Oreochromis niloticus: one gene and its partners. The protein of the gene in region 1 binds, or shares a complex with, the protein of each later gene. Links are inferred from orthologs where the notes say so. Each region holds a gene or a part of one and is shown in the gene's direction. Other genes may lie near its edges. The genes, in order: snrnp200, snip1, usp39 and snrpd3l.

The links.
Region 2: snrnp200 (region 1) and snip1 share a complex: the UniProt entries of both Homo sapiens proteins name them as parts of the minor spliceosome. The link is inferred for Oreochromis niloticus from reciprocal best matches to the Homo sapiens genes SNRNP200 and SNIP1.
Region 3: snrnp200 (region 1) and usp39 share a complex: the UniProt entries of both Homo sapiens proteins name them as parts of the U4/U6-U5 tri-snRNP complex. The link is inferred for Oreochromis niloticus from reciprocal best matches to the Homo sapiens genes SNRNP200 and USP39.
Region 4: snrnp200 (region 1) and snrpd3l share a complex: the UniProt entries of both Homo sapiens proteins name them as parts of the U4/U6-U5 tri-snRNP complex. The link is inferred for Oreochromis niloticus from reciprocal best matches to the Homo sapiens genes SNRNP200 and SNRPD3.

The regions. Positions count from the first base shown.
Region 1 is NC_031977.2:12,273,147-12,280,430, forward strand, and holds the start of snrnp200 (U5 small nuclear ribonucleoprotein 200 kDa helicase), read left to right. Parts: upstream 1-4,277; coding exon 4,278-4,322; intron 4,323-4,539; coding exon 4,540-4,703; intron 4,704-5,591; coding exon 5,592-5,763; intron 5,764-5,861; coding exon 5,862-6,054; intron 6,055-6,150; coding exon 6,151-6,206; intron 6,207-6,287; coding exon 6,288-6,386; intron 6,387-6,494; coding exon 6,495-6,647; intron 6,648-6,737; coding exon 6,738-6,837; intron 6,838-6,924; coding exon 6,925-7,061; intron 7,062-7,141; coding exon 7,142-7,219; intron 7,220-7,284. UniProt on the Homo sapiens protein: Catalyzes the ATP-dependent unwinding of U4/U6 RNA duplices, an essential step in the assembly of a catalytically active spliceosome. Plays a role in pre-mRNA splicing as a core component of precatalytic, catalytic and postcatalytic spliceosomal complexes.
Region 2 is NC_031976.2:27,045,086-27,052,711, reverse strand, and holds snip1 (smad nuclear-interacting protein 1), read left to right. Parts: upstream 1-4,615; 5' UTR 4,616-4,740; coding exon 4,741-4,949; intron 4,950-5,150; coding exon 5,151-5,277; intron 5,278-5,634; coding exon 5,635-6,176; intron 6,177-6,369; coding exon 6,370-6,622; 3' UTR 6,623-7,312; downstream 7,313-7,626. Other genes in the region: gnl2 (nucleolar GTP-binding protein 2), read left to right, coding at 395-502, 596-1,077, 1,451-1,533, 1,768-1,847, 2,006-2,149; dnali1 (axonemal dynein light intermediate polypeptide 1), read right to left, coding at 2,562-2,597, 2,684-2,848, 3,108-3,286, 3,386-3,555, 3,624-3,760, 4,038-4,118. UniProt on the Homo sapiens protein: Required for pre-mRNA splicing as component of the spliceosome. As a component of the minor spliceosome, involved in the splicing of U12-type introns in pre-mRNAs. Down-regulates NF-kappa-B signaling by competing with RELA for CREBBP/EP300 binding.
Region 3 is NC_031977.2:19,023,272-19,030,861, reverse strand, and holds the start of usp39 (ubiquitin carboxyl-terminal hydrolase 39), read left to right. Parts: upstream 1-4,572; 5' UTR 4,573-4,711; coding exon 4,712-4,775; intron 4,776-5,072; coding exon 5,073-5,151; intron 5,152-5,235; coding exon 5,236-5,330; intron 5,331-5,415; coding exon 5,416-5,552; intron 5,553-6,346; coding exon 6,347-6,499; intron 6,500-6,588; coding exon 6,589-6,814; intron 6,815-6,909; coding exon 6,910-6,984; intron 6,985-7,334; coding exon 7,335-7,402; intron 7,403-7,590. Other genes in the region: lg12h2orf68 (UPF0561 protein C2orf68 homolog), read right to left, coding at 1,417-1,539, 1,635-1,777, 1,875-1,990, 4,130-4,239.
Region 4 is NC_031972.2:24,898,320-24,905,880, forward strand, and holds snrpd3l (small nuclear ribonucleoprotein D3 polypeptide, like), read left to right. Parts: upstream 1-4,548; 5' UTR 4,549-4,706; intron 4,707-5,421; 5' UTR 5,422-5,436; coding exon 5,437-5,562; intron 5,563-6,257; coding exon 6,258-6,450; intron 6,451-6,890; coding exon 6,891-6,955; 3' UTR 6,956-7,103; downstream 7,104-7,561. Other genes in the region: adora2ab (adenosine A2a receptor b), read left to right, coding at 1-14, 500-1,458. UniProt on the Homo sapiens protein: Plays a role in pre-mRNA splicing as a core component of the spliceosomal U1, U2, U4 and U5 small nuclear ribonucleoproteins (snRNPs), the building blocks of the spliceosome.

The DNA.
Region 1 (7,284 bases):
TCCTCTCCCTATTTGTCTGTCATTGGGTGTGACCGAGGCCTCGGTGGCCTCAGAGACTCCGACTAGTGGAAAGTGACAGATGCTGTAGCCAGATGTGCAAAGGCAATGGAAGTTATATGGGGCCACAAACAGGAACATACAGTACTCTCCTCTTTAAAGACAACAATCCAATCCAACTTTATTTATAGAGCACTTTAAAAACAACATGGTTGACCAAAGTACTTTCCAGTAAAAAACAACAACAGTGAAACTAAAGTCAAGTTCATCTTACTCCTTTTCTTTTCACACACTTTCTACAATAAATCCTGTTTGATCCTTGCAGCTCGTGTTGGGTCAAGATAACAACTTACATTGAATGGACACATAAGCACATATGAGACATCCACTCACTACCCTTTTTACATCCATAACTGTGGAATATTCTCATACACAGCAAAATGATATACATATATTGGGAACTTAGGTGTTTGAGGGGACTGTGATAGAGTTGTCTGACAAGTCAACGTGTCGTGGAGAAAGACAACTGCTCTCACTGCTGCCATCTGGGTGTGAGAGCTGTGTAAGTGCAACCCATTTACCACACATTTTCAAAGCACTCGTTTACCCGATATGAATCACACACCATTATTACATCATACCAAAACACATGTTTATGACTAACATGTACATAACAGTTGAATAAATGCTTTTATTGGCAAATGAGTCAAGTGCTTCAGGGAAAAGTAGTGAAATCAGCAAAAAAAAAAAGAAGAGAGAATCTTTTAAAAAAACAGCTTATTTTTTTTCATCAAAAACTGAACAGTGTGTTTAAAAAAAATTGTATTAGGGCACTAAAAGCTTTACAAATATGTGGCTGTACAGTTAAAATGCATGTATGTCATGTATAAAAACAGATTTTAGAAGAATATTGGTGGTTGATGGAAAAAAATGTTATGTGGGATGATAATAACCTCAGAGGTACCTGAAAATCCAACCTGGACAGCTCTTCATTAATCATTGTCATACCTACACGGAATTGTAATTTTTTTATATTTTTAAATATTAAATTTTGGATGTTGTAGCTCACAGACTGTGGCCCACGCTGCTAATCATAGAGTTCACAGTGCAGCTTATATTGTCCACAATGAGGCTCATCTTTCTCATTTAGCAATTTTAATTTAGATCAAAATGACAGTCAAAGACTAACATATGAGTTCCTGAAGAAAAGTTCTTGTACATGCTTCTTTTTGCACTTCATAAATCTGACGTTTATTTACACCAAGAAATAATTGATCTCACACTGTTCAAGGTAAATGGTAAAATGGCCTGTATTTGTATAGCGCTTTACACAACCAGTCATCCACCCATTCGCGCACACACTGGTGATGGCAAGCTGCATTGTAGCCACAGCCACCCTGGGGCGCACTGACAGAGGCGAGGCTGCCGGACACTGGCGCCACCGGGCCCTCTGACCACCACCAGTAGGCAACGGGTGAAGTGTCTTGCCCAACGACACAACGACCGAGACTGTCCAAGCCAGGGCTCGAACCGGCAACCTTCCGATTACAAGGCGAACTCCCAACTCTTAAGCCACCGCCCCAAGGTGCAGAACGACTACTCTTTAGAGTGGAGTGAACCCAAAGGACATCCACACTTTAACCCCACTCTTTACAGTGGTGTCTCCTGTGTGGGGTTCAAAGCTTTATCTTGCATCAGCTCGTCATGCAGCTTAGAAGATAATGTACATGGGGGAAATAATTATGTGATCCTCTCCTGAATTTGTAAGTTTGTTCATTTATGAACAGTCTCTAATTTTTGTTGTAGCTTCGTTTTCAATTTTTTTAGATGAGAAGTAGACACAAATCCCAAATCAAACATGGACTTATCCATTGTGAAATTTGTTCACACACTTGCTCTCTGATGGATGCATAAGGGGGAACTCAGGGTTCAGTATCTTGCCCAAGGATGCTTTGACATGCAGACTGGAGGAGGCAGGGAATCGATCCGGCAGTTGCCCTGCTCTAATTCCTGAACCACAGCCACCCTCACTTGCCCCCTATTTGTGGAGCTACACGCTGTGTTGCCCTCTGTGAATAAAAATGAAATACAGCATAACACACAGGACTAGAGATGTCCCAATCCTGGATCTATAATATATGTAATCTATGATGTTTAAAGAAACAATTTAGTGAAAGCAAATACTGATATGAATCAATCACATTTTTTTTATAATTTCCTTTCCCCTATTTTGTGCCAGGGAAACAAAGAAGTTTTAATTTAATAAAACTGCCTTGTCTGTTTAAAAGTCTGTTGGCTCCTTGTCACTGTCATTGAACACTTAGCCACTGCCAAATTGATGTGACCAAACAAATAAACATCAGCCAGTGCCACAGGAAAGTGTCTCATCTGCAGATTGGTCTACAGCTAAGTTTGGCTGGTATAGTGATTCCACAGATAACTTTATGCAGACTTTCAGCATGTACAGTAGTATGGTATTTATCAATGGGCTATTACATTAAGTAGTACTATACTGTGCAAGTGATGGTACAGATGTCTACTATGGTAAATCAGCATACTGTATCTGATACACAATAGCAGTAATAATAATAATAATTACTTTTAGTTTTAGTAGTGATAGTGACAGGGGCATTATTTTTAGTAGTATTAACACTACATGGCTGCTGTGTAAGTCCTGAAGACACTACAGGATGGCAAGTTTTGTTGTTCTTATGAAATTATTCCAATTTTACATAATGTAAGCATGATAGACAATATAATGAAGTTAGCACAAAAAGTGTGTTTGTCTCTTTGTTGTTACAATGCGTCTTAGCAATAACTCATATCAGTAGAAGGCCTGTTTATTTCTCCTTAAATGGTGCCACATTTGTAAGGAAAATGTATTTGTGGGTTGAGCATCAGAGTTGAGCATGTGGGTTGCACCCATGAAAAACTTGCCAAATCTTCTCCGCCAGTGCCAAACAATGTACTCTGTTGTGGGATGGTGTCTCATTCTTCAACCAGCATCTGTTGCAAGTTAGGCGATTGTGGTTGTGTTGGTCATTTTGGCATGAAGAGAGCACCCAAAGCTGATCCCACAAGTGTTCAATGGGGCTGATATCAGGACTGCAGGCAGGCCATTCCATCCTCTCCACTCCCAAATTCTCGAGGCAATCTCTGATAATGGCATGGGTTGTCATCTTGGAGGATAGAGTTTGATCCCAGACTGTGGAGATATGGGATTGCCACTGGTTGCGTAATCTCATCTTAATATCTCTATGATGATTGCCTCTATGATGATAGGTCTGTTACGCTATGGTGCAGAAATGAGCATAGCATTCTCTTTAAATTTATGATCCAAGTGGCATAGGCAGAATCTGGACTCATCGCTGAAGAGAACATTCCTCCACGTGTCGCTGACAACAGGCCTGACGGTGAAGGGCAGTCATGGCATCCTCCTGGCAGCACTATGAGACCAGAGATTGCCTGTCTTCTGATTTTCTGGGTAAAGTGTTGTCAACCATATTGTCCTGCAAACCATGACTGCAAATCTAAAGAATAGCGCCAACAGTTCCTAAGTGCTACAACAAAATTGTCTTGTGCCGTTGTCTTCTTCAGATGCCCATTTCTTTGCCTGTCTCTGACATGCTCCATTATATGGAACTTGGCCTTCAATTTGGAGATGGTACAAGGGCTCACTCCAGATAATGCTACAACTGGGACACCAGCTTAAAGTTGCTCTATGGCACAGGCCCTATCCAGATCAGTCAAATGTGCCATGCTTGGAGCAGACACCAACTGACCGCTGTAACAGGGTCCATGCTCACAGGTGCTGCTAATCAGGGTCTAATTGTCAACACCTGATTCTGGGGTACCAGAAGCTAAAAAAAAGAGTCAGTAGCAGAATAAGCCGCTAGCAGAGGAGATTTGGCGAGTTTACATAAGTTTATATACCCATGAATACATTGACATAACAATAGGACATTGAAACTAAATAAATCCAACCTGTAGGGGGCGCTGCTCCTTTGCATCGATGATCCTGCTCTGACCTTTGACAGCGGAAGAGGAAAAGCGCGGCTTGTTGTGCGCTCGTGTTAGCGGCGCTATTGTAACGTATGCGAAACGCATTTTGTTGTATGAAACTCGGACTTTTCGAAAACTGGCTAATGCTACAAGTGTAATCAGTGCACTCATGTTCACAGCGTCTCTTTAAGCAGGCAGAGTGAGGTCGACTCTGTGGATATTAACAGTCAGTTAGCCGTTTCACAAAGTGCGCTAAAACCTGAGGGAAAACCAGCACCATGGCGGATGTTACTGCTCGAAGCTTGCAGTACGAGTACAAAGCGGTGAGTGTGTTTAGAGTGAGACAAAAAAATAAAAAATCAGAGGCAGGGATTGTTATTCTGTAAAGTTATCAGGAAAAGTGTTTGGTGTGTACTGTTATTAATTGATATTTATCCTTGTTTAGCTAGCCGTACTGCTAACTAGCATTTACTTCAGCCTGTTGCAGCGCAGACTGATGTACTGTCTCATCATCACACTGTTTTTATGCCGAACTCTTAGAACTCTAACTTGGTGCTTCAAGCCGATCGCTCTCTGATCGACCGCACCCGGAGAGATGAGCCCACCGGTGAGGTGTTGTCCTTGGTCGGGAAGCTGGAGGGGACCAAGATGGGTGACAAGGCCCAGAGGACCAAACCTCAGAGGCTGGAGGAGAGACGAGAAAAGTCAGTGCAGACAGCTACATATATTGTTCATGTGAACTTAAAGCAATACATAATTTATATACACTACCGGCCACTCTGATGTTCCTGTTCCCCTTGTCATTAATGCAAATGTGCAATAGCTAATTACATGCCAGCAACTCAGTGCATTTAAGCATTTAGGCATGGTCAATCTGCATATCAGAATGAACAAGAAAGGTGGGTTGACTTTGATCATGTCTGAGTATGCAGAAAAGCATCTCTGAATGCACAACATAAATGGATGGTAGTATTTGGGATAAGCAACATGAATGCAAGAAGGCAGGATAGACTGCTGGTGGTCTAATAGTGTAGGGGATCTTTTTGTTTAAGCATCCCATTATGATTCCAGTGTACCCCTCATCTGACAGCTGTTTATAGCAGGATAACGCACTATGTCACAAAGCTCAAATAGTCTTAAACTGGTTTCTTAAACATGTCAGTCCAATAGAGCACCTCTGGGATGTGGAGGAACAGGAGATTTGCATTATGGATGACGTGCAGTTGTCAAATCTGCAGCTACTGTGCGATGCTGTCATGTCAGTGTGGCCCCAACTCTCTGAGAAATATAGGCTTTAACTCGTCGAATCTATGGTTTGAAGGCAAAACCGGTTGATTTAAAAAAAGAACAAAATAATCCGGTATTAAAAATCACTTCATTAGTTCCACGTGATAACTTAATTTTGAAAAACTGAAAATAAAAGTATGGGGAAGAACAGCTGTCAAGTTTGATGTCTCTTCAAGGCAATTCTCAAGAAAAAAAGAAAAAGTGAACATATGTGACATGCCTTGGAAGATGTTTGCCACTCAAATGGCCAAACATGGCTCTACTGTTAACATATCATCTTTTATTTTTTTTTATTTTTTATCCAGGAGAAGAAAAAGGGATGAAGACAGACACGACATTAACAAAATGAAGGGCTTTACCCTTCTGTCTGAAGGCATTGATGAGATGGTGGGCATTGTGTACAAACCAAAAACCAAAGAGACCAGAGAAACATATGAGGTGTTACTGAGCTTCATCCATGCTGCTTTGGGAGATCAGGTCAGTGAACGCCACAACAGCTGCTTTCTTGAAGTATTCTGCTTCTGTTTCCGCTACATCTTGCATGTTTTACTCATTATCTCATTACGTTTTTACAGCCGCGTGATATTCTCTGTGGAGCAGCTGATGAAGTTCTGGCTGTGCTCAAGAATGACAAAATGAGAGACAAAGAGAGGCGACGGGAAGTAGAGCAGCTTCTCGGACCTGCTGATGACACGCGCTACCACGTCTTAGTCAATCTGGGCAAAAAGATCACAGACTATGGGGGGGACAAAGACTTGCAGAATATGGGTAGGCACATTCAGAGTAACTGTTGAATGAAAACTGTACAGGATCCATCAGTTTTCTCTAAAAATATTCATTATGTGTGGTATTTTTTATCCACAGATGACAACATTGATGAAACGTATGGTGTCAATGTTCAGTTTGAGTCTGATGAGGAGGTGAGGCTTGTAGCTCTTAAGATTTACAGCTGAGCTGATTGATTAGTTTGTGTCACTGACTTTTCCTGTCTTAACATACAGGAAGTTGATGAAGACCAGTATGGCGAGGTACGAGATGAACACTCCGATGAAGACAGTGAAGGAGTGGAGGCAGCTGTGGATTCCACTCTCTCAGCTAATGTAAGTTTCCATTCGTGGCATTACTCTATTAAGCCCATATTTGTGTTTAGTCTTTGTGAGATATTGCAACTGTGCTGCACAGTAACTAATAAATTACCTTTCACTTAGCTCGGTGGTGCGGGTGACGTGATGACAGTGAAGAAAAAAGATTTACATCCTCGAGACATCGACGCCTTTTGGCTCCAGCGTCAGCTCAGCCGGTTCTATGATGACGCCATCGTCTCACAAAAAAAGGCAGATGAGGTCTTAGAAATCCTCAAGGTAGGTTTGTGACGTTCCCTGTGTTTTTGTTTGTTTAGAGCAGGTAAGTTTGTATTTGTCAACATCATTCTCTCGTCTCTTATTTTACAGACTGCCAGCGACGACAGAGAGTGTGAGAACCAGCTGGTGTTGCTCCTCGGCTTTAACACCTTTGATTTCATTAAAATCCTGCGTCAGCATCGTCGCATGAGTAAGTCTGCTTTGTTGAGTGAAACTGTTACAGAGCTAATGTCTTTGAAAAGGTACTGATTTCTTTCTCTTCTCCCTTGACACACAGTTCAGTACTGTACCATGCTGGCAAGTGCTCAGAGTGAGGCGGAAAAGGAGCGCATCATAGGAAAGATGGAGTCTGATCAGGAGCTGTCAAAGATTCTCTACCAGTTGCAAGAGACGGAGAAGGAGGATATTATTCGAGTAAGGAGGCTTGATTGTGAGATTATGTGAACTCTTTGTGAGGCTCAGTTTGTCACATTATTTATTTTTACGTCCTTTAGGAAGAGCGGTCTCGCAGGGAGAGAGTGAGGAAGTCCCGTGTCGATGACTTGGAAGCAATGGACATAGACCATGGAGAGGTATATAACACTTTCAATATATTAACTACAAATCATCCTGTCAGGAACACTACTTGTTGTGAGTT
Region 2 (7,626 bases), on another chromosome or scaffold:
TATGGCATAGGCAGAAATCTAGAGAAGGCAGGACTGAAACATAAACAGCCCTCCCTCTCAGATGAGCTTGGGTCTTATGTATGTGCTGTGTATGCATTTAAAAAAGTTACATTCACTTCATTCTCAACATAGGACACGGTGAGCTCTTATTTACCAGATGGAAACTCTCTGCTTAACTGATTGTACCGCCAAACTTTCTTTCTGCTTGGGCTCTCTCCTTTCACTGCCAAATGTTTAAGTCTGAAAATAGAGTCCAGAAGAGCTGCAGGGCTACAGCTGCCTCTGAAACACTAGATATATATTTTTTTAAATTTATTTATTTATTGCTGCCTACTTCAGCTTTAAATCACTAAGTCTTAAGATGTCTTAGCAATCTCTTCTTGTTTTTGTACAGGGCGGTGAGCCAGATCTCGCCACAGTCTCTAAAATGGTATTGAATGACTGGCAGAGAGGACGTATCCCCTTCTTTGTGAAACCCCCTGGACCTGAAGGAGATCAAGAGGTAAGATTACACTGAATTTCTCTCTAGGGCTTTTTAAGTGCACCAAACTGTGCCCTCAGTGTAAACCTGTTTTTATTGCTGTGTTTTCGCTAGGATGAGAAGCCACTGCCAGTTGCAGGACCGTCGGAGGTAGTAGAGCATGTGGAGAAGGAACAGCCAGACAATCCGGACGCCATCTCAGAGGAACGTGAGGAAGAACAGCAGAGACAGAAGGAACAGGTCCAGAAGATTCTGGCTAATGTCCGACAAAACTTTGGCAAAATCAGTGTAGCTCCAGAGTTCAGCGAGGAAGACTTAGTTCCCGTGGACATGCCTGATCTGGACATGTCAGATTTTTCTGGCTCTGATGATGAGGAAGATGAGGGCACAGAGGAAAACGAAGGCAAAGAGGAAGATGCGACCAGTGTTGAACCAGTTGATGAAGGGACTGACATCTCTGAGCCAACAACCTCTCAGACTGAAAAGACAAACGGCAGCAAGAGTTCACGGGAGGTCATACGTGAGCTGGATGTGAAAATCGCCAAGTACAAGCAGTTTCTGGACCGAGCCAAATCCAATCGCTTCTCTGCAATCCGGTCAGTCTGCTCAAGCCCAAACCTCACTCGCATATTTTCTTTGTCTTGTGTACTGCCACCATTGTGTTTCCTCCAGTAACGTAATGTGAAGTTGTCAGACATAGAGATGCCACGCATTTTAGGTGGTCCGTGCTAACCAGCCTTTAAGCCGCTGATGACTAGCAGTCATCGTTTTGATGCCATAACTTTTGTGTCTTTTGTGTTCTTTAATGCTTGTGTTGAATTTCAGCACACACTGAAGAACAAAGTCAAGTAACCGCTGTATAGTTAATCTGAGCCTAATTTAATTACTGTTCATTTCAGCTGACCCCAACAGGGATAAACTGTTTGCCTTGTTTTGTAATGATTTACTTTTTTCCATTTCTTTGGACAGGATACCTAAGGCGCTTTCTGACAAAGTGTTCACAGACATCAAGACTAAACAGTCAGCAGCGACTAAGCAAGCACAGAAGAAAGGTAGTCAGTCAGCTTGTTTGTTATGACTTTGTATGGTTCTGGATGTAAAAATAATTTGGGAAAGTCTTTATCAGATGTGGTTAAGGTCCAATAAACCTTCTGCAGTTCCAACAGAATAATCAATTACTGATATTTATCAACATGATATTTTGCACAAACTTTATATTTGAATGAGTACGTCAAGTTAACATTCAGGCAGTGACATCAGATCTGTTCATCTTTCTTTGAATTCAGCTCCAAACCAGAGGGGTAAGAAGAGGAAAGCTGAGGAGGGTGAGGACCTGGCCCAGCCGAACAGACTCACGTCTAAACAGGTATGCAGTGTTTGTTCTCTCTGATGTCAAACAGGCCAGATTTCTCTGGTGAATGTTCTTCTTACTGATGTAACATTGGAAATGAAAAGCTCTGGTCTTTTTTAGAAGAAGATTTCACTTTTTTTTTCCTTCTATTTCTCTTTTATCTTTCTCTACAGAGAAGAGCAATGGATCGTGCTCAGAGGACGAAGAAAGTTGGCGTGCGTTATTATGAAACTCACAATGTGAAGAACAAGAACAAGAACAAAAAAATCCCAGCATCAGGCACAGAAGGTCAAAATACCAAGAAATCGAAGCACTAGACTGGAGTTGAATAAAATAAAATAAAATAAAACACACATGTAATAAATCTGTATTTAAATTAGCCTGATGCTATTTTCATTGGGGAAAAAAAAAGGTTGGCAGAAGGTGGAACACTAAGGTGGTCTTAATCAACTTGATGCCTTATCTTCATGACTGTTATAACTTTTTCCCCTCAGTGCAGAACTGTATTTGAATGACATTTCATTCATCATTTACAAGTGTACTGCTCTCTTGACGTTCAAGAGCAATCTGCAGTAGTTGTTTGAAGTGTACTTGTTATGCCAGAACAATAAAACATTTGTAAATTACACTAAGTTTTTACTTTAATGTATCATTAAGCAATAAGATGAATTATAAATGAATACAATCTTGTACAGAGAAATGCCAGCTAAGTTTTGGGGTTTTTTTTTTTTACTTCCTTGGTGCAATTATCTCTTCCAGTTGGGCCTGAAAAGAAAAGATGGGTGGTTAAGAAATCTTTAGACAATACAATCTACAATAATTATTCTCTGATGTGTAATTGAAAAAGTCACCTTAAGCTGTTGGTTGGTTCTCTTTAGGAGCTGGATCTCCTCATTGTGCCTCTTTTCTTCCAGCTGTCGTTTTTCAGCTTCTATCTTCTCAACTGTTTCACATTTAGCCTTCTCTTCATTCAGCGCCTTCTTCAGTTCTTGTTTCTCGTTCTCTAGCTCCAAAATCTGCCCGTATACCAAAGCATACTTGTGAGTTTGTTATTGATGCGGGGTCAATCCTGTAAAGAGCACTGCAGCCACTGTCATTGTACAGTAACTGTAAAATAGAGAAATGGTGCTCTCTGCTGGACTCCTAGCTAAATGACAGCTGAACTACATGAATGGCAAAGTAAATTTCCCATCATCTATAAATTGCCTAGTATTAAAATGTATATATATTTTGTGACCCTGTATTTGTAACTCATAAGGAACATGATATCCTTACTCTGTTTTTCATATCAGCTTTGCCCTTCTTAGCCTGCAGTGTCTTTCTCATGCCGTAAGCTATGCTGCTTTCATAGACGGTCTGGTAGGCGGCAATGGTCATTTGAATCTCATCTCTGACCCGCCACAATAGCATACCCCTCTCAGCACAGTTGATGGTTACCTGTCTGATTAATTCATCTCAAAAGAAAGAATGACAAGAAAACGTATGTGATTAATTGTATTTATATGCATTGATTGTACCTTCTATAATCAGCAACATCTCAGCTTCTTCCTTACCAAAACACTGGGAATAGAGCGCCCTGCGGACAGGGCAGATGCCGGTTTCTCTGGCCTGTCTTTCCTGGAGTTTTGTGTCTAGGAGTTCCTCTAGGTGCAACACATCTGTTCTTGTACAAGGTGTACTGGATACTTTCTGCACCCACAGTTGGTTTCCCTCCATCCACTCCCTGTAAGAGGAAAATTTGAAAAGTTCTGAACTTGCTGAAGAACATGCTATAGATAGGAAAAACTGTACCTGGGTGGGAGGATTAAATTGAGGATCTCCTCATTTTCCTGCTTAGTAGCCTCAGTAGAGGCTGATTTTGGTTTAGGAGGTGGTGGAACAGGTGTAGAGTCAATGGGCTGCTGAGGGCTTACTTTCAAAGGGCGTCCCTGTAGTGACAGATGTTTCATAAACTATCAGACAAACATATTATTACCCTGATTTGATTTTTTAAATGACTGATACATTTTCGTAAATCTATTATAAAATACACCTTACAGAACCACCTTGTAACTATATATGCATGCAAATATATTAGTAGATGTAAGTATAATTATCTTAAGATTTAATCAGACTGCCGGGATTTTGAATAGCATAACTTTTACATTAATCTCAAATCTATCCCTGAGATTTGTGCCATAAACACGGCTGGCTTGATAAACTCACCTTTGGTGATTTTCTGTCTGTGCTTTTGTTGACCAGAACTGGATTGTCGTATTTCAACAGCGTGTCAGCTGGAGGAATCATTGTCGTTTACAATAGAGGGATAGAATAAAGTTATACAGTAAAACTGGAAACTTCTTGGTTTAGCCTTTAGTTACAGAAAGCTCACGCTCATTGTTTGGGTTGTCCTGGCAACAGCGTCCGTTACGTTCTAATGTGTGCGAGCGGAATCAGCGCATAGCTTCAGCGAGTACAGGCTAGTGACACTTTTTTTTTTATAAATTCCCTTTGAGATAAATACATTTTTATCAGTATTTTTTTAAAAAAAAATTATTTTAAAAAGCCCAAGGGCATGTGATTTTGTTGTTGTTGTTGTTGTTTTGCTTTTACCACATTGTGCAACTTTTACTATGCCTTTTTTATTGTGTTTAGAGGCTGCATCTAGTAAAAGTAATGTGTGTTAAACGAATATGTAAATAATGAAAGAATATTCCAGCTTTTTCAATACACTAAAATATTTAGGCTGTACAGGAAATAAACTGATCGGCTTCTCATGTCGGAACCAACGTGAAACATGAACACACGCGGAGCTTAATTCTCGGTGAACCTCAGGAAGCGGAAGTGCGTGATCTCGGCGTAACGGGTGAAGTTTGTTACATGCCGAGGCTTTTGTTTTTTGTACATACAGTGGTGTGGTTGAAAATGTATGCTTTTTAGGTTATACAACGGTCGATTTGAGAGAATTATTTTAAGCATGGCCAAAGAGAAGCGGCACAGGAGAAGAGAAAGTCCGGAGCGTGAAGCCGAAGTAAAGATAAAGCAGGAGAAACTGAGCCCTGCTAGGCCACAGAGATCACGCCGCTCCAGGTCAAGATCCCCCGGCAACTCCAGTCCACAGAGAGGAGGAACGAGCCGGTGTGTGCACTAAAGTTATCATACCACCTTAATTTTGCCACATATGTCATATTGATCAACTTGACAACCGTGACAGAGTCCGTTTTTTCGAGTATATCGCTGTAGTACTTACTTGGGCTAGCTACGGCCACTAGTTGCATCTTAACGGTGAGAAATGTCATGTGAACGGTCGCTTAATACTCTCTTGTGTTCTTCATTTAGGTCACCTGCAAGGACGAGGGACCGTTCACCAGGTAGAAGGGAAACCTCTCCCGCCAGAAGAAGCAGCAGATCTCCGAGAAAAAGGAGAAGTCGTAGTCCTCACCATGGGGATGTCAGAGTAAAGCGGGTGATTAGTTTCAAAATTATTGGGAAACATTTCAGGTTTGCAATTCAGCAGCACCACTGGAGTGTAAAGTGATCTAGGTGGTATAAAGTACTCATCTGGAATTTATCACACAGAAGCTTGTGTAACCCAAGTACTTTGAGATAGTACTAACAGTCTGAGGCAGTATGTTTTCTGTGTAGAGACCCAACATTGGGCTACAGTTGTCCCATTTTAATGTTTTTCAGAGGCATCTGGCAGTAATGACAATATGTCAAACAAAATAGAGCCCACTTTTCCATACTGAAGGGTAATGGAGTATAATATAACTAACTACTCAACAATGTAACTGTGTAAGTATTCTCTAAATATATGTCACAGGAACGGGATGAGCATAGAGCTAGCGGCGACGAGAGAAGAAGAAGAAATGAGCAACCAGAGGACAGACGGAGTAGGTGGGAATCAGATAGGCCACGAGAGAGAGAGCGCGGTGGAGAGAGGCATAGGGAGCGAAATGCTCTTGCCTCTCAACAAGCTGAACGACAGCAGCAAGATGAGAGACGCAGGGAAAATCGCCAGCGACGTGAAGAAAACCAAGAGCGAGACTTCGGGAGGTCAGAAGAAGAGGGTGATGAGGCAAGCGCTGCTCCTGCTGAGAAAGAGAAGCCAAACTTCGAACTTTCAGGGGCACTCACAGAAGACACAAACACATTTCGGGGAGTGGTGATCAAGTACAACGAGCCGCCTGAGGCTCGGATTCCGAAGCGCCGATGGCGACTGTACCCTTTCAAGAATGATGAGGCTCTTCCAGTCATGTATATTCACAGACAGAGTGCCTATTTGTTGGGGCGACAGAGAAGAATTGCTGATATCCCGATTGATCACCCATCCTGCTCCAAGCAACATGCAGTATTCCAGTACAGGTAGGAAGAACAGTCATCATCAAATTTTTATTTATTTTTTTTTTACTCTGGTTTTCTTTTTGATTGAAAAACGTGCTCAATCTGTGGTGATTACTATTTACTATTGTTGTTGTCCAATATGTTGAATGACTCTTTAATCATGATCCTCATTTGCAAATAGATCATGTCCACCATTCTGTCTTCATTTCTGCAGACTGGTGGAGTTTACGCGGGCAGATGGCACCACGGGCCGGAGGGTAAAGCCTTACATTATTGACCTTGGCTCTGGCAATGGCACTTATCTGAACAACCAGCGTATCGACCCCCAGCGGTACTATGAACTCAAAGAAAAAGATGTCCTAAAGTTTGGCTTCAGCAGCCGTGAATACGTGCTGCTCCACGAGTTCTCAGACACAAGCGAGGTGGATGCCAAGCAGGAAGAGGAAGACGAGGGCCTTGATGAGTAAATCGTTCCCACTTATTTGATTGCCTAAGTTCATTCAGGTTAGATAACATCATCATCAAAAACAACAACAACAGGACAAACAACTGTTTCTGCAGGGAATGGAGCAATAAGTTTGAACTGGTAAATGCGGGAACTGATTGAAATAATGGAACAGGATTTGTTGGTGGTGTATATTCTGTAATTACTGATCTCTTGCTTGAACCTGCCACAGCTGTCTCAAAGAAGACTTTTTCTCAGGTTGTATAATGTCTATGTGATACATGACGGATCTTACTTCTGACAGTGCTCGCATTACATTAAGATGTGCTCAGTGACAGATAAAGATATCTCACCAATCTATAGTTATATATTCTATATTTTTTGCGCCATAGCACTGAGTGCAAAGCATAGCTAATCATCTATGTCCATGCTATATGTGTCAGTGTACATTACATTATTGGAATGTGAACTCAACATTCATGTTTAAAGAGCATTTTTATTGTCAGAGTAAACATTGCAGTACAAGATGTAAAGATATTTCCTTTTCCTTTTTTGTCTTTGCTTCGTAGTGCAGGAAAAATTATTAACGCTGTTGTGTTCCCTTGCACTACTGGAATCTGTATGCACCATTCTTATTTTTGCCCATTCATAGAAACCCATAGTAAATTTTCATTTTTGTACTGTAAATAAATTTTTGAAGAGTTTTATTGGAGCAAACTGGTGTCCGTTTTGTTTCTATCACAAAATGTCCCGTTTTAAGGAGGACAATAGGCACCATAATTATTTAACAAGTGGGTACTATATAGTGGGTAATATAATTTGTTTATGATAATTTAAGCCTATTAATTACAGTACTCTGCAATAGTCTTGAGTATCCCTTCATTTCTTTATATTTTGCTAGGAAAATGGGTGCAACAATTTACTGAAAGACATGCAAACATACAGTAAGGCAAAAACAGTTTGTACAATTCTGTACTATTGAAAGTCGATACTTGATAGGACCGCCTTTATTCCTCAGCACAGCAA
Region 3 (7,590 bases), about 6.8 Mb from region 1:
TCCTGCAGGTTCCTTGATCCAACACAGCTGATTCAAATGGCTAAATGACCTCCTCTACATGTCTTGAAGTTCTCCAGAGGCCTGGTAATGAACTAATCATTTGATTCAGGTGTGTTGACCCAGGGTGAGATCTAAAACCTGCAGAACACCAGCTCTCGAGGCCTGGAGTTCCCTACCCCTGGTATAGAGGCTATTATTCATTGTTGGACAAGCAGCCCCAATAAGATATGAGATTTCTGACAAAGCAGAGGACAGAGAAGCTCTGACTGAAGTGCACAAAGATCCTGAAATGGATACAAACCCAAGGCGCTACTCCATGTACAGCAACTTGCCACCTAATTCTTCGTTGCCCCTCTGTTCTTCACAGTATTTTAGTCAAAAAGTCAAAAGAGGGGAAATATTAGAACAATTCAAAGTGCCCCTTTTTATTGAAACTAAACTGTTTAGTAGGTGTCTGTAGAAAAATGCATTCTTTTTACAGAAGTACAGCATAAAACCTGATTTAAACAGGAGAAAAACTACAGCAGAGGTCTGCGTGGTTGTATGACTGATGCTGCCACCTGCTGAAAATTTGATGTGAAACATTTGTCAAATCAAACTGATGCAGTATTTTTCTATGTTCCAGTATTATATTCATGTTTAAAAATCAGAATCTATGTCATATAAGATAAGACAAAAAAAAAATAAAATAAAAAGTGGTGCTCAGCACCATAAAACTGGACAGCAATGCATGGCTTTAATACATTTTATATGTAAAGTGTCATCCTCAAAAAGATATTACAGTATCAAAAATAAGTCTCTCAACAATCCAAAATAAATCGGAGCACTGGAACCTACAGAACAGTTACCAACCCAACAAGGTCATCTACTAGACTCGGACTTCAAAACTAATTTCCCTCATTTCTTAAACACAGGATTGCTGACAGACCGATGACAGACAGACCGATGATCAGCTGAAAACGCTTCACACAAGGAGTTCAAATCTTAATTTAACAAACAGAATCTTTGTAAACACAAGAATCACAGGACATGGAGGACAACGCTTTTAGGGCTCTGTGCAGAAGAGTACCTGCTCCTTCTGAATGTAACTATTAAAAAGTAACAATTTTAAAAATGTCCAGTCAACTTAAACGTGTCCCCAATATGTGAATCAGAGAATAGCACAACTGTCCAAGGTCAAGAATTGCAATTGAACCTGAAAACAACTCCCAGCCATAAACTGTGCTCTTCCTTCTTACAAAAGAAAAAAAATGGCCTGAATATAAGTCACCATGTTAGATCTCTGCTGACAGTCACTCTAAATGATCCTTCTTATACCCTTAATGCACAAGAGTGCTCTGGAGGAGTGCAGAACTGCAAACGAAGTGTTCCTCCTCTTTGCGTGGAGCTCCTTTATGGTCGTAATCTGATGATTGCTCAGCGTTTGTCTCGCCTTTTGTCAATTTCTTTTCGAATTCGAACCTTCAGAGCTGCCCTCATGGCTGCATCCAGGATGTTCTTCTCTGCAACACGTTCTACCACCTTCTCAGGCTTGTCCTCCTTCAGAAACAAAAGGCATTTAAAGGAATTACACACAGGAAATGACCAAAGAAAACATTTTTATGAAAACATCATAAAAAGGAATCGGCATTAACCTTGTGCACAAGGATGGATGTAATGGTACCAGAATCAGCTTCATATTCAAGCCAAAAGAGTTCAGTCCCACTGGCGTCAGTCTCTGTGCTTGATCCACTCTCGTTTTCTTCAGCATCAGCACCGGCCCCTGGCTCTGAACCATCTGAATAATGAGCGCATGCACACACACAAACACTTTATCTTCCCGCTAATGGGTGCACTATCAGCACAAAAGTCAAGAGAAAGCACATCAGTCTTACGTCTTCTTCGAGGATGGTACACTTGCATGTCAGGTCGACGGGGTCTTCGAGGGGTTGTGGTGTGTCTCCGCCGCTGAAGCTCTTTGGCTTGCTTCACCTCTTTATCATAGTCATCTCTTGAGAAAGGGAATCAAAATTTAGTTAATGCAGAAAATGTGACAAACAAATAAATCCAAATAAATAAATAAAAAATAAAATTAACACATTGAAGGGCTGGACAAGCATTAATGGAGTGACACTGTTTTTTATATTGTGATTTTTGACTTGACTAACCACTGTATACAGATGTCATCATTTTAAATAAAATTGAAAGACACTGACAGAAAATACTCCTTTTTACCAGTCAGCCAGTCTTCAGACAGTGGTGAGAAGCTTACATACAGGCCATCAATGTAATTTGCGGATTTTCTTTGAACTGGCATGATATTCATGCCTACATATGCATTTATGCACATTTCTAACAGTTTGTTGTATAGTTCAGAAAATGCATTATGAAAGTAAGTCGTGCCTATGTAAATTTGGCACAAAAAGTAAGGTCCATTATTTCTTTCTTGTAACGATGCATCTTGCGAATAAATCTCATACCGTTGGAAAGCCTTTTTATTTCCCCTTCAGTAGTCCCACATTTCTCAGGAAAAATGCATTTTTCCTAACAAATGAATGGGATGAGCAGCAGAGGTGAGTATGGGGGTTGCGCCCATGAAAAAGTTGCTAAATCTTCTCTGCCAATACCAAAGAGCCTTATTCTGCTATTGACTCTTCTTTGGTGTTGCCTATTGAACTGGATGATTTAGGTCTTAAATTTTTTTTTTTTAGCAATTTTTTATTTCAAGAAATATGGGCCTATGCAGCACGTGGAACCATACGCAGACTCAACAGCTTGGCACCTTCTATGCTGGTCACCGGCTTGGTCCACATCCAAGCTGATCACATAACCGTTCAACGGGGTCAGGACTTCAGGTAGGACGTTCCATCCTCTCCACTCCCAAAAACTGGACCTGAGGTGGTCCGCTCTGTTGTGGTGAGCATTGTCATCTTTGAGGATAGAGTTCCCTCCTAGACTGTGGAGTTATGGGATTGCCACCATTTGCAGAATCTCGTCTCAGTATCTCTTGCATTGAGATTGACTCAAATTTTGGCAAGCCTCGTTTTTCCACTGAAGGAGATGCCGCCCCACGTTATAACACTGCCTCCACCAAAAGCTGCTATCCTATCGGTGCAGCAATCAGCACAGTTTCCCAGTGCACATGTTGCCAACAGCAGCACAAATGTGCCTGATGGTGAACAGCAGTCATGGCAGGCCTCCTGGCAGCCCTATGACACCGGAGATTGGCCTGTGCAGTCTGTTCTGGATTTTCTGGGTAGAGCACAGTCAGTGATACTGTTCTGCAAACCTTGACTGCAAATCTACAGAAGACTGACTTCTGTTCCAAAGTGCTGACAGGGTGAAGAAACAGTCTTCTTATGGCGTCGTCTTCTTGGGATGCCCATTTCGTGGCCTGTCTGACATCCCGCATCAAATAAAACTTGGCCTTTGATTTGGATAAGGGACTACACCAGCTTGAAGTTGCCCTATTGGCACGTGCCCTGTAAGGTCCACAATTACAGGTGGTGCTAATCCAACAATCAGACACCTGTCTGTATCCGGGATATCAGAATCTCAAAACAAAAGTCAGTAGCAGAAAAAAAACTGTTTGGGATTCGCAGATAAGATTTTCCAGGTTTTGTCATGGGCACAACCAACAAGTGACACAATTTAAAATAACACAAACAGACTTTCCAGTGAAATATCACTTATTTTCAAAAGCCAAACAAAGATTTTCTTTACTTTTTGTGCCAGGTTTACTTGCTTTACTGAAATGCATTTCAAAGAAACCTACAAACAAAAACATTATGTGATGTGTTTAATTTTTCTCCTAGTATTTTTGGGGTCTGTCGTATTTTCTGTCAAAAACAAGTTAAAATGATCCCCCTGTTAACAGATGCGCGCACTGATTGAACTCAGTTTTTTCCAGTATGCAGTTGTTTATCATTTTGCTCCTCAGTATCTTAAATCAAAGAGAACTGGTCACCAGGCCTCTGCGACCTCCCCATATATTTTAGCTCCGAATGTAAAAGCGTGTGTGTTAATAACAAGATAATATTTACTTAATCGTAAAATTATTTTTCACTAATAATAATAACGATGATGTTTTTAACTGAATGACCTAGTGTACTACCTACTAGCATAAGCTAATAGCAGCTGAGGAACTCACCTAGCAATCTGGTTCCTCCGGATATGGTGCAGGAAGCCGTGGCTCATATCCAAGCGACCACCTGGTTTGTATTTCAGCTCATGGACCCCCTCTTCTCTTAAAACATCCATTTCAGCAAACCGCTTCCAAACGACGTCAGTGTTTATGCACTGCTGACTGCAACAAGTCCCAATCAGAGCACTGTGAACGGTCAAAAAGCTATATAGCTAAGGCTAGCTAACGATAACATGTTGTCCAATTATAATGCTCCCTGAGTTAATAAATAATGATTATAACTAAATTGCGCACCATAAACAAATACCCAAATATGACAAACCTGTATATATATTTAAAACAAACAAAGATCCAGTTATACTTTAGAATTTGGCAAGTTATCATATTAGTTTTTGGTAAGTGACTAAGGGTGGGTATAGCGTTAGTAGGTTTTCAAACTCCGGGTTAGGTTTTAGTTTGCTACTCGACAGCTACAAGGCACAATCGCCGCGAGTTTCGAGGCGCACAGTGCTTGAGCCATTCATCACTCTCTCCAAATAACGTAAAGGTTTAGCTTCTAAATTGTTTTGACGCCGTCTATCTGCTGCTATGGTTTCTTTGAAGCGAGAAAGAGAGGTGGATTTAGATGATGATGATGACAATGAAGACGGAGGTAAGTATATTCCTCAAACGTATGCCCTGCGTTTGGTTAGCAGTTAGCGTTGTTGTTAGCCAGTGGTGCGTTGGTTTTTTTACTGGCCTGTCCAGTAACGCATAGACGGAGCAATAAGTGCCTCTACCATGTGCTTAACAAAACGATACCCCTCATCTTAAAGCACCCAGTGTTTGAAAACAAGCATACCTCACAACCTCAAAGCTAAGCTAGTTAGCATGTTTAGCTCATTGCTTTGAACTGTTGGTACATGGTTTAGCTTGACATTTGTTCTTCTTTGGTCACTTCACGTTGCAGTGGCAGCAAAAGTTGGACGAGGACATGCAGTAGAAGACCGAAGAAGCCGCCACTGTCCTTACCTTGACACCATAAACAGGTAGGTCGGAGTAGACTGTGCATTGCTATTAAAGCTGTATTCCACCTCTGCAGGTGAATTCAAGTCTGTGTGTCAATCCTGCAGGAGTGTGCTGGACTTCGACTTTGAGAAACTGTGCTCCATCTCTCTCTCCCACATCAATGTCTACGCCTGCCTTATATGTGGGAAATACTTTCAAGGTAGGCAAATGGACATTTTAACTGGGGATCAGACACCTTGTTGTACTTGTACTGATTTGTGTGGGGTTTGTTTTGTGTTTTGTAGGAAGAGGTCTGAAGTCCCACGCTTACACTCACAGCGTACAGTTTACCCATCATGTGTTCCTCAATCTGCACACACTCAAGTTTTACTGTCTGCCAGATAACTATGAGATCATCGATTCATCACTAGAAGATATCACAGTAAGTAATGTTTTTCATACTAAAACTAAAATTCATGTAATCTCACTGGCCACTTTATGGGGTACAACTTATTACCGTACTACAGGTTTGGACCCCTTTTACCTTCAGAGCTTGCTTATTAATTCTTCATGGCAGAGATTCAACAAGGTGTTTGATAATTCCTCAGAGAAATTGATCCATTTTGACATGATAGTGTCAGACAGTTGCTGCAGATTTGTCAGCTGCACATCCATGATGTGTGGCTCCTGTTTCATCACATCCCATTGCATTGAGATCTGGTGACTGGAGGCAATTTGAGCATTTAGACTCACTGGACCGTATTCACTAATCTCTGTGACCAGGATAGACAGCATTAGCTACACCAGAGGGACAGCTCAAGTTGAGCAGTTTAGAGGCAAAGTTAGAGACAAGTCTGAGGGTGGTTTGGACATGTGCAGAGGAGGGATAAGGAATATACTGGGCTGTAATGAGAAGAGGTAGATGAACCGCTTTGATGCCACCTAATAGGAGCAGCCGAAAGAAGAAAAAGAATCAACAGTGTAAAATGTATATCTATGCTAAAGGTTAGGTAACATTCAAATTATTTTGACTTTAGTGACTTTTTTTTTAAGCTGAATTGAGTGAATAAATATCTTCCAGTCTGAATTGTGACTGGATTGACTGAAGAAGCACCAGTGTTTTCAGTCTGATATGATAATAACCATGTTCTGTTTGATTTTGTCATTATTTCTGAGCTCTGGCTTTGTATCAGTTACCGCAAACAGCTGATTTGCTTACATTTCTTCTCTCTATAGTACGTGCTGAAGCCAACTTTCACCAAGCAGCACATTGCAGGGCTGGACAAGCAGGGTAAACTGTACAGAGCCTATGACGGTACCACCTACTTACCGGGCATTGTAGGGCTCAACAACATCAAAGCCAATGACTATGCCAATGTGGTGTTACAGGTATGGATATCTGCCACTCTAGATTTTATTAATTGTTGTAAATTTTCGGAATAATATCCTCCCTTCTCATTTGTGTCTCTCTTTTCAAGGCTTTTTCTAATGTTCCACCTTTGCGAAATTACTTCCTGGAGGAGGAAAACTACAGAGGAATCCGCAGGCCCCCAGGAGACATCATGTTTCTCTTGGTGCAGAGGTTTGGTGAGCTGATGCGCAAACTCTGGAATCCAAGAAACTTTAAGGCCCATGTGTCACCCCACGAGATGTTGCAGGCTGTAGTGTTGTGCAGCAAAAAGAACTTCCAGATTACAAAGCAAGGTATTACTTTACATTCACTAAATTGTGCTTTCTGGTCTCAGGTAGGCTTTCAACACAGGTTGTGGTGCTAACTAATTGTTTTTTCTCTTCTGCAGGTGATGCTGTGGACTTCATGACGTGGTTCTTAAATGCCCTGCATGGTGCTCTTGGAGGCACAAAGAAGAAGCCATGTAAGTGGAAGAAAAATCAAAGTGGATTTGACTCTGATGCTGTTTGGTTCTAATGCAGTAGTCTATCTACAGCCTTCTGTTGTGATATTAAAAGCATCTTAATGACTTTAAGGGTTAATTAAATTTCTATTTTTTCATTCTCAAACCTCGGGTTTCATACAGAATCTGCAGTCTCTGCACAAAATCATATTGCGAATGTGCGGTGTGATGGACAAGCTCTGTGGACTATGATGTTTGCAGACAACATTGTGATCTGTAGTCAGTGTGAGCAGGTGGAAGAAATCAGTTCCACGTTACACGTCAATTTGAGGCCACTAAACCTCCCTTTTCTTTTCCTTCTCCCCTCATAGCAATCATTACAAAAGCATTTCAAGGCTACATGCGGATCTTCTCCAAAAAACTCCCACACCCTGATTTGGTGAGTTTCTTGCTTGTTTTATAACTTTATTTAGAATAGAATAGAATAGAATAGAATAGAATAGAATAGAATAATCCTTTAATTGTCCCACAAGGGGAAATTTGGTATTTGTTTGTTTTATTTGTTACTTATTCAAATTCTTTAAAATGACTGCACGCCTTAAGATGCAGTTCTTAGTCCAGTAACAT
Region 4 (7,561 bases), on another chromosome or scaffold:
TGGCTGGAACACAGGTGGGGAAAACTTTTTGCCAGTTCACAGGTTGTTTCATGTTGTTCCATGTTTCACACAGCATCAATGAAAGGCATTGATGCTGTGTGAAACATGAAACAACCTTCCTTTACGTAGTCAAAATCATCCAGAGGAGGCGTTTTGATACAAACAAGCAAACATTATTCTTGTGTAAGGGAGGATGCCCCGCTTCCGTCTGTATATCTTCTTACTGCTTATTACAACAATTCTATTGCATTGTATAGTATAAATGGATAAATGCAACAACGATGTATTTCTAGAAAGGTCTCGTGTTCTTATTTGCACGGGCAGTGGCAAGAGAGACATGCATACATTTATTTATTTATGTTTTCATGTTTAAGTTACATATTTAAGCATGTTTAAGTGGTCCTAACTGCTGAGGAGATTGTTTAGGAAAACTGAACTGAAACCCTATAATTTTGCTTTTGGATGAAACTGGCAATAAATCACTGTTTTCTTTACACAGGTTGGAACTCCAATACCACTGCCACCAAAAGCCAAGGCTGCCCTGAAGGAATGACTCATTGCTTGTTTGAGGGAGTGGTTCCCCTTGACTATATGGTCTATTTCAATTTCTTTGGCTGCGTGTTGGTGCCCTTGGTGATAATGTTGGTCATCTATATCCATATCTTCATGGCAGCCCGCCGACAGCTTCGACTGATGAGCCTCAAAGTTGCACACGTACCTGCTCCCGGACAGAAAACTCCATCTTCTGGCTCATCTCGTTCGATTCTGCAGAAGGAAGTACACGCTGCAAAATCGCTGGCTATTATCGTTGGTTTGTTTGCTCTGTGCTGGCTTCCTGTGCATATTATCAATTGCATCAACCATATTTGCCAGGGCTGTGAGCGCCCACACATCTGGGTGATGAACATTGCAATCATTCTCTCCCATGCCAACTCTGTGGTGAATCCCCTTATCTACGCCTACCGCCTTCGAGAGTTCAGATATACCTTTCGCAAGATTCTCTATCAGCACATCCTGGGAAAGAGGGATGGGCATGTGTTCGGGGTTGAAAGTGCTGATGGCAGAGGTGTAAGGAGCACTAGTATCATGCAGACATCTGCCCGTACGAGTAAAGAGGATTTATCATGTGGCACAATGGTAAATAGTTATGTTCTCGAGTCCAGTGCTGAGAAAACTACATCAAATGCCTCTCATGAGAGTTTAGATTCTGTACCTAACAGTAATACACCCAACGGACACCAAAAAGCAACTGGCACCCCATCAGAAGTACAGCATCAGCCAGGTATCTTGGCATCTTCTGCACAGGAAGCAGCAGCGTCCGCCACATATCTGGGAGGAGCAACAGATATCTTGGAGTTGAAAGACAGAGGAAGCTGCATTACTTTTGTAAATGTACAGGCACTCCCCTTAAAACAGAATGACTGTTCCCTTTCTTCAAAAATCACAGAAATATCATGACAAAGACATTTAGTTATTTCAAATATATTGCTCTCAGAACACACAGAACGTTCTGCAAACGTGAAATTTCAGCAAATCAGCCTCGACAGCAAATCTGTTTTTTTATGTAAATTTTTTTTTTTTTAGTTTGGAGTTTCTTTTTGTTTTATGTGCACTTTAACGTTTAAAGATAATATACTTTTTGTAATGTGCAGGTTTTTGCTATCTGTGTTGTTTGCATGCCATCAAAATTAAACATCTTTAAATATGTCACAGTTTTGTGGTGTTTTTGTGCTGCAGCACTGAACTGAACTTTGTCACTCATCCAGGTTATGATACTCTGAAGAGCTTGAAAAGAGAAGAAAACTAGACTTCTTTAAGTTGTGAAGATGTTTCACCTCTCATCCAACAGGCTTCTCCTGTTCTAAAAACACCTTGGCTGAAGTGACCTCAATAGGTCACATGGCAGGATGTGTGGTAGACCATACTAGCCCCTAGTGTGGGTTGTCCACTTGGAGGTGGTTGTTGACCCAATATTGATCATGCGAGTCATCACATGAGCCAAAGTGTGAAAAAGATGTGGGTCATCGTCAGGGGTTATGGGGGAAACCACTCAGAGACTGTGCCCCACCCTATTATGTGACCTATTGAGATCATCTCAGGGAAGGTATGAGTAGGGGTTAAAGCACCTGGGAAGGGATCTCAAGACTGCATTGTAGGTGGCTGATAGCTAGTGTCGTAAGGCACCACCTCTGTTCAATGATGGTCATTCACAAGTGGCTGCTTGGTTTCTCCTTGATGCACTGCGCAGCATACGCTATGTTGCTCAGTTTGTTTTTGGGAGTTTGGTCCTTGAGATCAACCAGTTTTTCTCTAAGGGTGTTGCTGGGTCTGAAGTGCACTATAATATCATGGTTAGAAGAAATTCTCATGAGTTTCTCTAACAAACCTGCTACGAGATGGCAATAGAAGGCCTCCTTTACTCCTCCTATAAACCTGGCCTTATGTTTGGGAGTTTTGTTCTTAGAATGAACCAGTTTTTGTCTGAGGGTGTGGCTAGTCTGAAGTCTGAGGATCATCCACATACCTGTACCAGTAGCTAGGTGCAATCCCTCTGAGGAAGACCAGAGCTTTATTAGAGGTTGGCTACAATGGCTGAGGTTGGATAGAGGTTCCTGCCCGTGGCACATCTAGGATTTTTTCTGTAGAAAAACCTTTTTGTATTTAAAATATGTGGTATCCTATGTGGAGATGTCTAACAGTGTGCAAATCTGATGTGGGATGTAGCAGATTCTGTTGTGTAAGGAGCTGTAGTTGTTTTCTGACAGTCTCCACTTCCTCAGTTGTAGCTCTACAAGTGAGAAGTGTGATGACATCACAAGACTTACAACTAAAACTCTGTTTGTTTTGCTGCTGTTGTGATCAGCGATTTGATCAGTGCCAGGCAACACATGTTCACTGTTGTTTACGAACCATCCAAAACAAAGAGCTTGTTTGCCTGTACAGATATGACCCCATATGCCTGTATTGTAGATGCTTTCAGAGTAAGGCTTGCTTGCATCACACTATGAAAAGGACACACATACCTAGGTAAAGTACATACACATGACCACAGACCACTCTGTAAGAAATGTTTACAGAGCAGCCTGGCACTGACGCCAGTCAATGAGCCTAATGCAATGGAAATCAAATGATGGTTCATTTGATGGTGTCTTTTATTATCCCATAATGCTTTCCCTTCCCTCATTAAAAAGCTCTTCCACTGTGGCAAAGACCTACATTAACCAGTTTTTATGTGCCTTAAAGCAATCCCAGAGAGAGGTCTCCAGGAATACGGGTACGTATCTAACTTGCACTGTGTTTATTCATAAACTTAAACGTATGCATTGTAATCATGCAAGAGGGGAATTAAAATGGGTGAAACCATTTCATTTCAATGGTTTTTTTGTTGCATGTTATGATATTTTGATAAGCATGAGATAAGGGTTATCAAAATGATTTGGTTATGGATATTACATAGCTGAGTCATAAAAAATAACAAAGATAAGGGGCCATTGTGGTATGATGACCTGGAGGAAAACAATCCAGTGTGTCCCTCTATAGTGTGTCATGCTGCCATAAATTACACATGTGTGACACCGGCATGCAAAAGGATTAAGCTATCTTTTAGAAAGAAATGCAAATTAGCAGAAACTCGGTAACAAAAGATTTATTGCAGCAGAGACCACAGTGTTTATTTAAAGAGTCATACTCTGTGCATTCCCTCTCTGGCTGATGATTTCAGTCAGCCTCATAAATTACCCACCTCCACCAATGCACCGTGTAACCATTGCAAGTACTGCATCCTTTGTTCTACACCTCTGATGTTCTTCTTTTTAAACCCCTCAAACTTAAATTTGTTAGTACATTCTTTTTGTTGTTGTTGGGGTTTTTTTTTCAAATCTTAGTTCTTCTGATGTGACTTTTTCTTTGCAGCCTGGCTAAATGGGTCACCATCCTTACTGTTAATGTTGAAACTTGTGTTTTGGTGATTCTTGTATCACTTAAAAAAAGTTACCAGAGAATCTGAGAGCAAACTATTTCTCAAGCTGGAGACTCTGCTGAATCTATCCAGCTGCTCAGTTGTGCACCACGGCCTGCAGGGAGCTACTTTGATGCTGTTCTGTTCTGTGAATGGTAACTGTAAAAGTGTACTTTCGGGACGGAATTTCCCACATACGATAGCCTTTGTTACTTGTAATAATAACAGTATGACTAGATTCACAGATAGCTGATGAGAGACAGGCTAGAATATCTGCTCATTCTTTATTCTTTATTCCGATTCACACTAGTTGTCCCTTGGGTCTAAAGATAAAACAATACAAAACATCCAACCATCAAGAGACAATCAGTCAACACATTGGAAAAAAAATAACCCATCAAATAAAAAGAGAATAGTTCCTGCAACTTATATGACAAACAATGACATATTATGAAATAATAAAAAAATACAATAAATGGCATCTATCAAAGATCTACTGATGATCACTTGATGTATCATTTTTTTTCGCCAATCGGTGTATCCAAATTCCTTGTGAACCCGTAAAGCCATAAAAATACAGATCCCACAATGCACTGCAGAGCATCACAGGAAGCATTCGATTGAACCGCCGGTGCATTGTGGGAAGGCGGAAAAAGGGCTCAAAAGGTAGGGAACCGCGTCTGGCGCACGTTGCAACGTCAAAAGAAGAAGCAATAACAAAGAAACTAGCTTTTACGATAGACTCCAGGTAAGAAACAAAAATACTCGTAATTCAACTGAGACTGTAAATTTTTTCCATGCTCATTAGCAGCGTTGTTTGTTTCTTGTGCGTGTGAATCAAGCGCGTTCGTTCAGGAGCCAATATGGCTCCGTCTATTTGCCGAACTAATAACTTATTACTGCAATAAAGAGGCAAGTGTTAATGTTGAAATCGTATTTGTGTCATTTTAAGTTTAATTTGTTACACATGGCATTAATTGGGTTACATTATTGTATGCAACCAGGATATATTATTGTCCATTAGCCTAGCTCGCTAATGAAGGCTAATTCCTCTCGCAGCTTCGATATTCAATGATTTGACTGAGAGATTCGCTTTATTGATCAGAAGTTAACTGTAGCTTGCTCATCCCATCTTAACGAGGGTCACTGATTGTTATATATTAACTCCCAGCAACTCTTTAAACAGTATAAGAGAGCTGATTATCGTTACACAGGCAGTACTCGAGTGAAAAATAAATTGGCGAGGATAATGATGTGTGGACAAGTGAAATGGTTCCTGATTGCCTCTCTGGTGTTTCTGTAACTAAACGCATCGCAAAATTAACAAGCCAGTTAGCCATACAGTTTGGTTACAGTTAAGTGTGATGTTTGATGAAAAAAAAAAAAAAAAATGCGTTTCCAGGAGCTTACAGCCTGTGAATGTGCACAGTGTAACATTTCTTCTGCTAAATTTTGTTTTCCAGAAACATTCTTGAAAAATGTCCATCGGCGTTCCAATCAAGGTCCTGCATGAGGCAGAAGGCCACATTGTGACCTGTGAGACCAACACTGGAGAGGTTTACAGAGGCAAGCTGATCGAAGCAGAGGACAACATGAACTGCCAGGTCAGTACATGATAAAGAGTGGAAAGTGAATGTGGATGGTGCTCCTCCTTACGGGGGTCCCATCAACCAAACTGTTGGTACTGTATTGTTTTTATGATATTTTTTTTTTTTTTTTTTTCCTCCCTTAATTAGAGTAATCAACAGTTTAGTCTTTAATAGGCTGCTTGATCATTTGAACAAGTTTTGTTTACTTTATTTTCAGGTAAATGCCCCTAAATGGCTTAAGGTCTTGTAAGGCAACACCGATAGAAAAGCTTAATGAGGCTAAAAGGAATTGCATTACAAATAATAGTGTCTTTGTTCTCTGCGTCTCTCTGTTTTCCCTTTAGGTAAATGTAAAAGGACATCTGAATGTTCAGGTTCAATTTGTGGTGTTTTTATTTTAATTATAACATTTATTTCTAGTTTTTTGTTTATATTTATTTTTTTCCCCCGTAGTTGTTTAAAGGTTTCCAAGCTTTCCACCTGATGGTGTCAAAATAAGAGTGAATTGTGCTAATCAAGTACTGGAGACCTAGATCTGGTAGCTGCATTAGTAAGAGCCAGTTAATTAAAAATTGGTCCCAGATCAGATGGTAAAAATCTGTTCCTTTTATGGCTTTGTAAAGTTTAGATAACTACTGTTGACTTGAATAAAACACTAAAGAGCAGTTTGATTACATTTGTTGAAAGAATGATCTTTCTGTTTCTTACAGATGTCTAATATCACGGTGACTTATCGGGATGGCCGCGTGGCACAGCTGGAGCAAGTTTACATCCGTGGCAGCAAAATCCGCTTTCTGATTTTACCCGATATGTTAAAAAATGCTCCTATGCTGAAGAGTATGAAGAACAAGAACCAGGGATCTGGTGCAGGAAGGGGCAAGGCAGCTATTCTTAAAGCACAAGGTGGGTGAAAATTCGCAGTGGATTGATACACCTGTCAGTATGTTCAGTAGTGGGAGCAACTGATGGTGATTTAAACTCACTGCATGCATTGATTGCCTTTTTGTGTTTGTGCAGCATAACTAAATCCTACCATGAGAAAAGTGCTTTCTGTCAGTGTTGCTCTGTTCCTTGTGTAATAAGTACAGTCTTGTCATAGGTGCAGGGGATCTGTCAAAAACACTGACTTAAATGTTTCATTGTTGTTCAATTTGTCTTCACATCCCCTTTAAGATAGAGCTGATATTTTGCCAAGCGGGTGTTAAGGATACAAAATTAGACTTCACTGTACTTCTCAAAGTACTGAATGTATTATTAAGGTTACTGAACAGTTTTTCTGGTTCAGTGAGGTACTCTACATTAAAAACTGATAGTATGCCATCTTTGTTTTTTGTGCTCTCCAGTGGCTGCAAGAGGACGAGGGCGTGGTGGAATGGGAAGGGGAAACATCTTCCAGAAGAGGCGATAATTGCTCCAGCTATATTAACATTTTTGCATTGTATAGTTTTTGTTTCCCCCTTGAATTTGATATGTTGGATATCATTTGAAATCTTGTACTTTGCAGTCAGTTGCTTTAATTTCTTTTTTTTTATTAAAATAAAAGTTTTTCAATTTGATGTGTCCTGATGTTTTTGTTTTGTTTTTCTTCTCCCACTTACAAGAGATTCACTTGTGCCAACAGTCTTATTTCAAAACATCCAATATTTAATAAGGAATGTACTAGGAATGCGGTGTTTAGCTTTATCCAAGTAATTTCAGTGTTAAACCCTGGGTTTTCTGTACTATAAAAGGTTACCTGAGTATATTGCCATGTTGCCTTCTGCTGTGGACCAGATAAAATCGGGCCTAAAATCACCACATACTAACCAATCAATTCTTTGGAAATTAATTTTACTATTCCAGAGGAGTCCTTGGCCCTGTGCAGATGGCAGCATTTAAAGGATTTCAGCACCATCCAGTCTTTTTTCCGTAATGGGCATCAGTAGTAAGTACTGCATTGATTCTTAAATGCTACCTCTCTTGTGTTGGCTGCAGACCTTGTATAAAATGTGCATGTAGCCTAAGCCTACATATG